2 linked regions of the Mus musculus genome follow. The protein of the gene in region 1 binds, or shares a complex with, the protein of each later gene. Links are inferred from orthologs where the notes say so. Each region holds a gene or a part of one and is shown on either strand. Other genes may lie near its edges.

Region 1 (4,331 bases):
ACCTGCCTAGACAACTTAGTAAGACCTTGTCTCAATTTTTAAAATATAAAAAAGAGAGGGCTTGGGAGGAAGAGTAGAGCACTTATCTAGCATGCGCAGGGTCTTGTGTTAGATCTCTAGCATTGACTCCTAAAATAACATATCTCCTCTTCTCATTTTGGGAATCATTTTGAGGTAGTTAAAAATATACTTTCAATGATGGTTTCCCTTCTCAGCAGAAAAGATGTATCTCACACTTGTCCTACCTACATTGTGTGTATGTGTGTGTATCTCTGAGTGTGTGTCTGTGTGTGTGTGTCTGTCTGTGCGCGTCCACACATGCATGCTCCCTTCCTCCTTCTCTGTCCACTTACATTAAAACTCAGAATGTTAAAGCTAGAACTGGGCAGTTCAAGAGCATCTGTTACAGTTTACAGGGAAGGACACTGAAGCCCAGAGTGTTGCTATGGCTTACCCAGGGCTACCTAGTGAGCTGGTGGCAAGGCCAAGCCCCTAGTTCACCTCTGTTGCATTCTTTCATCTGTTGCCTTTATCCAGTGTTGTTCCGTGAGAAATATGTCACACAAAGCAAGTAGGGGACCAGTAAAATGGCTCAGAGGGTAAAAGCTCTTCATCTACAGGAAACCTGCATAGAACGCCACATCGCAGAGCCAAGTATGTTGGTGCATCCCTTTAACACCAGCACTCAGGAAGCATAGTCAGGCAGATCTTGAAGATGAGTCCAGCCTTGACCACTAATGGACTCTGTCTCAAAAAACCCCAAAATACAAAAATTAATCAGTCGATAACTAGAAAGAATTCAGATTACAATGGCACATGCATCTATAATGCCGGTGCATCTTTACCAGGAGGTGAGCGGCAGCCACAAGAGAATTGGCCAGAAACTTGTGGTTAGCCAGCCTAGAACCCACAACTTAGCAGATATGGGCATTAAATCTGAGTCTCAGAAAGGTGGAAGAAAAGAACTAACCCTCAGGAGTTGTTTTCTTACTTCCACATGGCATGCAGAAACCCTCACTTACGCACATACATCACACATGCAGAGTAATAAATTTTTTATATTATTTTATAAAAGGAAATCAAGGAACTTGGAAATCTACTAACAATAACTTTTGTTCTAAACAATCACTTTTATTCAGAGTTTGCAGTTCTCTGTTGTAGGTGATGATGCCAGCTGTTTTTCTGCGAAGTCCTTGGAGCAGTATTACGGCTGGAACATTGGGAAGAGGAGAGCTGCTGAGGTGAGGTTGCTTGCCGGACAGGTCTGCAGCCTGCACTGAAAGTCAGATGCACAGTAGAGGAGGACGCTTGCGTGTTCTTCCTCTATGGACAAAAGGAGGCAAACTTGCCTCTTTAGGTGGTAGACCATTGCTCAGTCAGAAACTTTGTTCTTCTGGATCCCAGATATCTCTTGAAGGCTTGTCTCCTGTACCAGGAAAAGCATCTTATATTTTCTTTGAAAATCTTAAATATTTTGGGATTGAATAGTTAGCTCAGCAGCAAGATGGCTGTGATCACAGAGAACGTGGGTTCATTTCCCAGCACCTGAATAGCAGTTCACAACAATCTGTAATTGCATTTCCAGGGGACCTAAATGCCCTCTTTTGGCCACTTTAGACATGGGGGCATGCACGTGGTGCACACAAGTACACATAAAATTAATATTTTTAAATTTGTAAATTTCAAAATAATACTGAATTCAGAGTTTTACAGAGTACTTACAACAATGTTGCCAAATGCAGTTGAATCTTGAGAGAAGAAAGTGTGTGCCGTGTAGCTGGGCACCAGCGGAAGCTGGGTCATCCATCGAATTTGCTTTGGGGAAAATGAAAAGTTGGTTCATGACCAGGTGAAAAGCCTTAAATGCAGACATAGAAGTTTCTGTTGTATTTTGTAAACACTAAGACCGATAGTAACTCTTTTTATTACATGTAAAACTGTTATTGTGTATGTGTGCATGTACACACATGCACATTCTCACATGCATGCCACTGCACATTTGTGAAGCCTGGAGGACGTGACGAGTCAGTTCTCTCCTGCAAATCAGCTTGTTTGGCTTGGTGGCAGGCATCTCACTCTCTGAGCCATCTCACTGGTCCCAAAACAAGTCGTCCCTTTGTTGCTAGAGAGTGACAGAATCTGATTTCTTAGTTGCTTGGTTTATTTCAGTGCACGACTGTTGATTTTAAAGTTCAAGGATTTAATTTTGGATCAAATCCTTTTTAAGTGGCAAAGAGCAATGACAGTACGAAAAGTGTTACAAGAAATCCTGGAGAAGAATCCAAGATTCCACCACTTGACTCCCCTCAAGACCAAGCACATTGCTCACTGGTGCCGCTGCCACGGTTACACCCCACCAGACCCCGAGAGCCTGCGACATGATGGAGACTCCATTGAGGATGTGCTGACCCAGATTGACAGTGAACCAGGTAGGCCTTAATAGGTTGCCCCAGTGTGGAGCGTGTTTGCCTCCTGTCAACCCCTACAAAACACTTGGCTTCAGTGTTCTTGCCTTCAGTTAGGGGTGAGGGAGAGCTGGTCTAGATGACAAGACCCTTTCTTCTTACCATGACCCCTTTCTTCTTACCATGACACCCCAGACAGCACAGCCCTTCAGAACTATACCCAAGTGTTTAAGGACCCCTAGTAGGCAGGTCAGGCCTACTACCATCAAAATAGGCCAGTGTCTTATGGATGTGGTACTGTACCCCCAAGCCTGGAGAGGGTATTGGGGACACATGAGAATAATCAACAGTGTTGTAGGAAATATAGGAAAGAAACAGACAACTACTAAAGAAAAAAATTAGAGGCATGAAAGCATCTGGCTATTCCTTAAAGAATAAGAAGGGTTCAGCCATGTTCTTACAGACATCAGAATGCCCCACCCCATCTAGGTAAGTCTTGTTTTCTGTAGAAAGCTTCCTGGGACCCAAGTGCTTAGTGGTCTTTTCTCTCATTTCCTATGGTATATACTATCTGTGCTGAGAGGGTTTGTTGACTTCTAGATCTATGTCCTTGGTGGGCAGAGACCATGTGATTACCTCCAAGTTTCACTGGTGCTCTGTACTATATTGAATAGGGAGAGAGTGAGCAGCCTTGTCTAGGGCCTGATTTTAGTGAGATTGCTTCAAGTTTCTCCCCATTTAGTTTGATGTTGGCTACTGGCTTGCTGTATATTGCTTTTACTATGTCTAGGTATGGGCCTTGAATTCCTGATCTTTCTAATACTTTTATCATGAATGGGTATTGGATTTTGTCAAATGCTTTCTCAGCATCTAATGAGATGATCATGTGGTTTTTGTCTTTGAGTTTGTTTATATAGTGGATTACGTTGATGGATTTCCATTTATTGCACCATCCCTGCATCCCAGGGATGAAGCCTACTTGATCAGGATGGATGATTGTTTTGATGTGTTCTTGGATTCAGTTTGCAAGAATTTTATTGAGTATTTTTGCATCGATATTCATAAGGGAAATTGGTCTGAAATTCTCTTTCTTTGTTGGGTCTTTGTGTGGTTTAGGTATCAGAGTAATTGTGACTTCATAGAATGAGTTGGGTAGAGTACCTTCTGTTTCTATTTTGTGGAGTAGTTCAAGGAGAGTTGGAATTAGGTCTTCTTTGAAGGTCTCATAGAACTCTGCACTAAACCCATCTGGTCCTGGGCTTTTTTTGTTGGGAGACTTTTAATGACTGTTTCTATTTCTTTAGAGGATATGGGACTGTTTAGATCATTAATCTGATCCTGATTTAACTTTGGTACCTGGTATCTGACTAGAAAATGGTCTATTTCATCCAGGTTTTCCAGTTGTGTTGAGTATAGGCTGTTATAGTAGGATCTGATAATGTTTTGGATTTCCTCAGATTCTGTTGTTATGTCTCCCTTTTCATTTCTGATGTTGTTAATTAGGATACTGTCCCTGTGCCCTCTAGTTAGTCTGGCTAAGGGTTTATCTATCTTGTTAATTTTTTCAAAGAACCAGCTCCTGGTTTGGTTGATTCTTTGTATAGTTCTTTTTGTTTCTATTTGGTTGATTTCAGCCCTGAGTTTGATTATTTCCTGCTGTCCACTTCTCTTTGGTAAATTTGCTTCCTTTTGTTCTAAAGCTTTCAGGTGTGCTGTCAAGCTGCTCATGTATGCTCTCTCCAGATTCTTTTTGGAGGCACTCAGAGCTATGAGTTTTCCTCTTAGGACTGCTTTCATTGTGGCTATGTTGTGGCTTCATTTTTATTTTCATTAAACTCTAAAATGTCTTTAATTTCTTTATTTCTTCCTTGACCAAGTTATCATTGAGTAGAGTATTTTTCAGCTTCTACGTCTGTGTGGGTTTTC
Region 2 (4,331 bases), on another chromosome or scaffold:
CAAACATAAAGAAATATGAAATTTTACATAGGCTATACTGACATAGGTAAACTTACACTAAGTTAAGATTTGACGATAAGATTACTAAGATAACTGCATTTATTATTGAATATGAAAGTAATCCATCAGCACATGTCTTGGTTTTTTATTCTTACAGCTCTTTAAATTTGTATTTGAGCTCATGAAACATGCATCTTTACTTTGTAGAAAATATGACATAATTTTTAATAAATTATTATTGCAAAATAAGTACAATTGACTTGTTTCCACTTGAATTGTGTCTAGCAAAGTTTATAGTGATTCCCTTATACTCAGTCAAATGTACAGGTGGAAGCTTCTCCCTCTAAAGTTTTGACTGATTTTGATATTAATTTTATATTCTTGGTAGTGTTCTGGATATACTTTTGTTCTAATAAATCACTACCTGGTGAGAAGTTTCCGTGTTATGAGACATATCTTTCTAGAAAACCCTTAGGAAACACACTGGACATTGACTTTTGGCTTCGTTGTACTGCTTTGGGAAAGTACTTGGTTTTTATCTCAATAATTTCATAACTGATAGTTTAATTTTTATTTGAAGTAGTTACTGTCATCTGTCCCTATGTGTGAATAATCTTAAGTCTTAAATACTTTTTTAATTAGCTAAGTTTGAAAACAATAAAAATAATTGAGAAGACATCAGAGTAATGATATATTTTAGGCATGTGTTTGTGTGATATGTAACAAAGAGAATACACTTTCTGGACTGTCGTAGTTGATCTTCGTCTGTTGAATGCCTAGTTGGGATTCAGTAGGATTCTGACTAGGGCAGATCTATTTTTGGATACCTTCCAGTGGTCTTTAAAATATCAAAGTATCAAAAGAGGTTTATCTTTCATGGATGGCTTTTCAAAGATGGCCCCAGGAACAGAATTAAAATAATAAGACATGTTTTTACTTTTTATTTTCAAAACTGTGCCTTTTGGCTTTTTAAAATGGCAACTGGGTAAAGCATTTTATTATGTCATTGAAACTTAGTAACTTTGAGCAAAATAGGCATGCATTACTCCATAGAAATCTTATTTTTGTGATAATCCCAGATATACAGCTTAATCGTGTAATTTTTGTGATGTTGCTGGTTTGCCTCTTTGAAGCTTAACCTCAGAGATGATGTGGTGAAAATTACAATCGATTGGAACAGGCTCCAGAGCCTCTCAGCATCCCAGCCTGCACTGCTCCTTACTGCACTTGAACAACACGTTTTGTATTTACAGGTAAATTTCATATTAGAAATATTTACTGGATATTGAAAATAGAAATTACCTATAGTTAAATTAACTGGAGTATTTTTCAGTTCTACCTCAACATTCTGTTAACAGTATTATTAATAAAAGGTTATTAAAATCCATATTGAGTCTAGGTCTGTTAATTTCACTAGTGATCGGAATAGTTATGAGAATATAGCCCAATAGGCCAATGTGGGTATGAGATTGAATAAATGCAATTCTATTCAATTCTAGGCTTTGCTGAAAATTCAATACAGTTCATCTATGGTGGGTTATAATTAAGCAATAAGACACGGCAGGTGTGAGTCATGCTATGATAATGATTCCATGCCTTGGGTGAGTTTGGAGGCTCATGGAGTGCTTTCAGTGGTTCAAGAAGTGGCATTATCCCAGCATGATACATCCTGGAGTGTCTATTGCAATTAAACAGTTTCAGCATAGTTTTTAAAAAGAAAGTAATTTCTGTGACATTAATGTTTCATCTTAGTGAGTAGCCAGTCACTATTTCATCTTAATAATTTGAAATAATTTATCCTTTATTGGAAGTCAATATTGAATTATTTATAATGGTATTGTTACATTTTTAATATTTCAGTTTAAGAAATGAACAGTATTATAACCTTGCTGTTGTTGTTTAACATCTCTGCGAGTGTAATTGATGGGAGTTGGAGGTTTTCTCTCATCAGGATAAGCAGAACTGCTTTTTCTGGTCACTTTACCCTGTTGAAGATGTTAGAAGATTTCAGAAGAGTACTTTCTGGGATGTTTAGCTGTGTTTCATGATAAAAATAACAGTTAACACTTTGTTTAAAGGGCAAGTGATGAGCTATAGAACTCAAATGTGGACCATATCCAGGTGGGGATGACAGGAAAGGAAGTGAATTTCCATTATGAAGACATTTTTTTTAACCTACTGTAGTTGGAATGATCTGTTTCCAACGTGTATAGCATGTTTTGTTTTCTTTCTTTCTATCTACCTATCTTCCTTCCTTCCTTCCTTCCTTCCTTCCTTCCTTCCTTTCTCTTTCTTCTCCCCGTGTGCATTTTCTTTTGTGAAATTTCATTTCATGTCCCAATAAGATATCATACTATGACAGAGAAAGGCTGACTATTCACTCAGGGTAACACCTATATACTTCATATCCATGCTCTCTCATTCATTTTGGCCAACTGTACTTTGAAGTGGAGAGTCTCAGCGATACAGTGATAATGCAGGGCTTTGCTGAGTGAGCACTGCCCTCCTGCTAAGGAGGGAGAACACTCAGCCTAGTGTTCTGAATGACATGTTAATTAAGAGGCATCCAGGCCAGAGTCTGAGGCTTTGATTTAGCACAAAATAAAAGATGAATGACAGAATGATTTCCTCAAAGAAAAATTTAAATGTCCTCAGGTTTTCTTTCTTTTCTTCTTTTTTAAAAATAAATGTACAGTAAATGATAAGGGCAATGTACAGTAGTAGAAAACAGCAAACCTGTGTGTGTTAAGATCTGTGTGTCCTTGTATGCCAGCTTTTTATGTTTAATAACTGATAATATTCATTTCTGTAGCAGCAGCTTAGATAAATCTATCACTAGCTGAGATGAGTTTGAACCTGAACAGATGTAACTGTGTTCTTTCCAGCCTTTTTTAGCAAAACTTCAGTCTTTAATGAAAGAAAACTCAACAGCTACAGAGATAAGACAGACAGAAGCAGAGACCAAGAGTGAACTAAGAGCCATACATCCCACCGAGGACCTACAAGATGAAGGGAAGCCCAAAGACTGTGATGTAGGAGATGTGAAAAAGACACAAAACCTTTTTGACCCAGAAGTAGTTCAGATCAAGGCTGGAAAAGCAGAAGTGAGTGTGGACAGGTACACGGGTCAGGGTAACATTACTTTGAAAAGTTCTGTTGTGTTTAGATTGTTAAATTATTTGTTGTTTTAGATTGACAGACGAATATCTGCATTTATTGAGAGAAAACAAGCTGAAATCAATGAAAACAATGTCAGGGAATTTTGCAATGTTATTGATTGTAATCAAGGTAACTACAAGTTTTTTTTTTTAACAGAATTTTAAACATCTTGACAACTGCTATAATATTTTGTTTTAAAAACATATAACATTAAGAACAAGATTCTATTTTGCAGGTGTTTAGTTGATAATTAAGGTAGTAGAATTTTCCTTTATTTAGTAATGGGCTCTGTTGCCAAACTGATTCTCATTTTGGTTACATAAAAAATCCAAGTGAAGGCCGAACTCTAGAGACAGATGTTTACCACAGGTTCAAGAAGATCAGAGTTCCTTTAGAAAGTGAAGGTGAACCAGCGAACCTAGTAGCACTACTTGCACCCCTCACAAGGGAGCAGTTTTCTCCTGACTCCTGAGTTTCATGGTGGATACACCCAGCTTGCCATGAAGTCCTGTGGAGCCTCAGCCCCAGGCCTCTCCCTTTTCACACTGCTGTCTCACCTTTGCCGTTTCGCCTCTGTCTCCCTTTCCTCTTCGTTTGGGGCTACAGTGTTTCCAGGTCTGCAGAGGACCTGCAGAACCCCATAGACTGTGTAGATTGCCACAGATCATAACCAGTTAGCTTTGTAATAACCAGACTGTAAGTAGTTCTTAGAAAAAAATTATGAAAAAAGGTTTGTAATTGGGTTGACCATTTTTTTCTTACTGCCATTAATATCTCTTAGTTAATGATTATAAACATGAAATTGTCCGTTGAACCTGGAAATGACTCATAATCACATTGATATGTGACACTCTTAACATAATAACGTGGGCTTACTGTGGATTCTAAATTAAACTTTTCTGCTTTAGCTTGTGTGGATCCCTAGAATTAGCTCTTTAGAGCAGGTGTAACAGTGGAAAATCTCAGGTGTGGCAATCCAGCTGTACACGCCTCAAGAGAAAGGGTTTGTTGAGGGAGCAAGGACATGTGTCACTAATGTTATTCCTCTGTTCCTCCTGCTAACTCTATTATTATAAACCACCAGGGGATAGAAATTGACAAGAATTGAAATGCTCAGCAGGACTCCTAAGCCCATTCAGTCCTTGCTGGCTCAAAACAGTGCTAGCCAGAAT

What was found. Proteins that work in one complex are often made in the same cells at the same time.
Region 2: Yeats2 (region 1) and Mbip share a complex: the UniProt entries of both Homo sapiens proteins name them as parts of the ADA2A-containing complex. The link is inferred for Mus musculus from reciprocal best matches to the Homo sapiens genes YEATS2 and MBIP.

What each region holds. Positions count from the first base shown.
Region 1 is NC_000082.6:20,220,513-20,224,843, forward strand, and holds part of Yeats2 (YEATS domain-containing protein 2), read left to right. Parts: intron 1-1,148; exon of another isoform or gene 1,149-1,161; coding exon 1,162-1,241; intron 1,242-2,227; coding exon 2,228-2,429; intron 2,430-4,331. UniProt on the Homo sapiens protein: Chromatin reader component of the ATAC complex, a complex with histone acetyltransferase activity on histones H3 and H4. YEATS2 specifically recognizes and binds histone H3 crotonylated at 'Lys-27' (H3K27cr).
Region 2 is NC_000078.6:56,339,158-56,343,488, reverse strand, and holds part of Mbip (MAP3K12-binding inhibitory protein 1), read left to right. Parts: intron 1-1,079; exon of another isoform or gene 1,080-1,133; coding exon 1,134-1,253; intron 1,254-2,885; coding exon 2,886-3,104; intron 3,105-3,191; coding exon 3,192-3,288; intron 3,289-4,331. UniProt on the Homo sapiens protein: Inhibits the MAP3K12 activity to induce the activation of the JNK/SAPK pathway. Component of the ATAC complex, a complex with histone acetyltransferase activity on histones H3 and H4.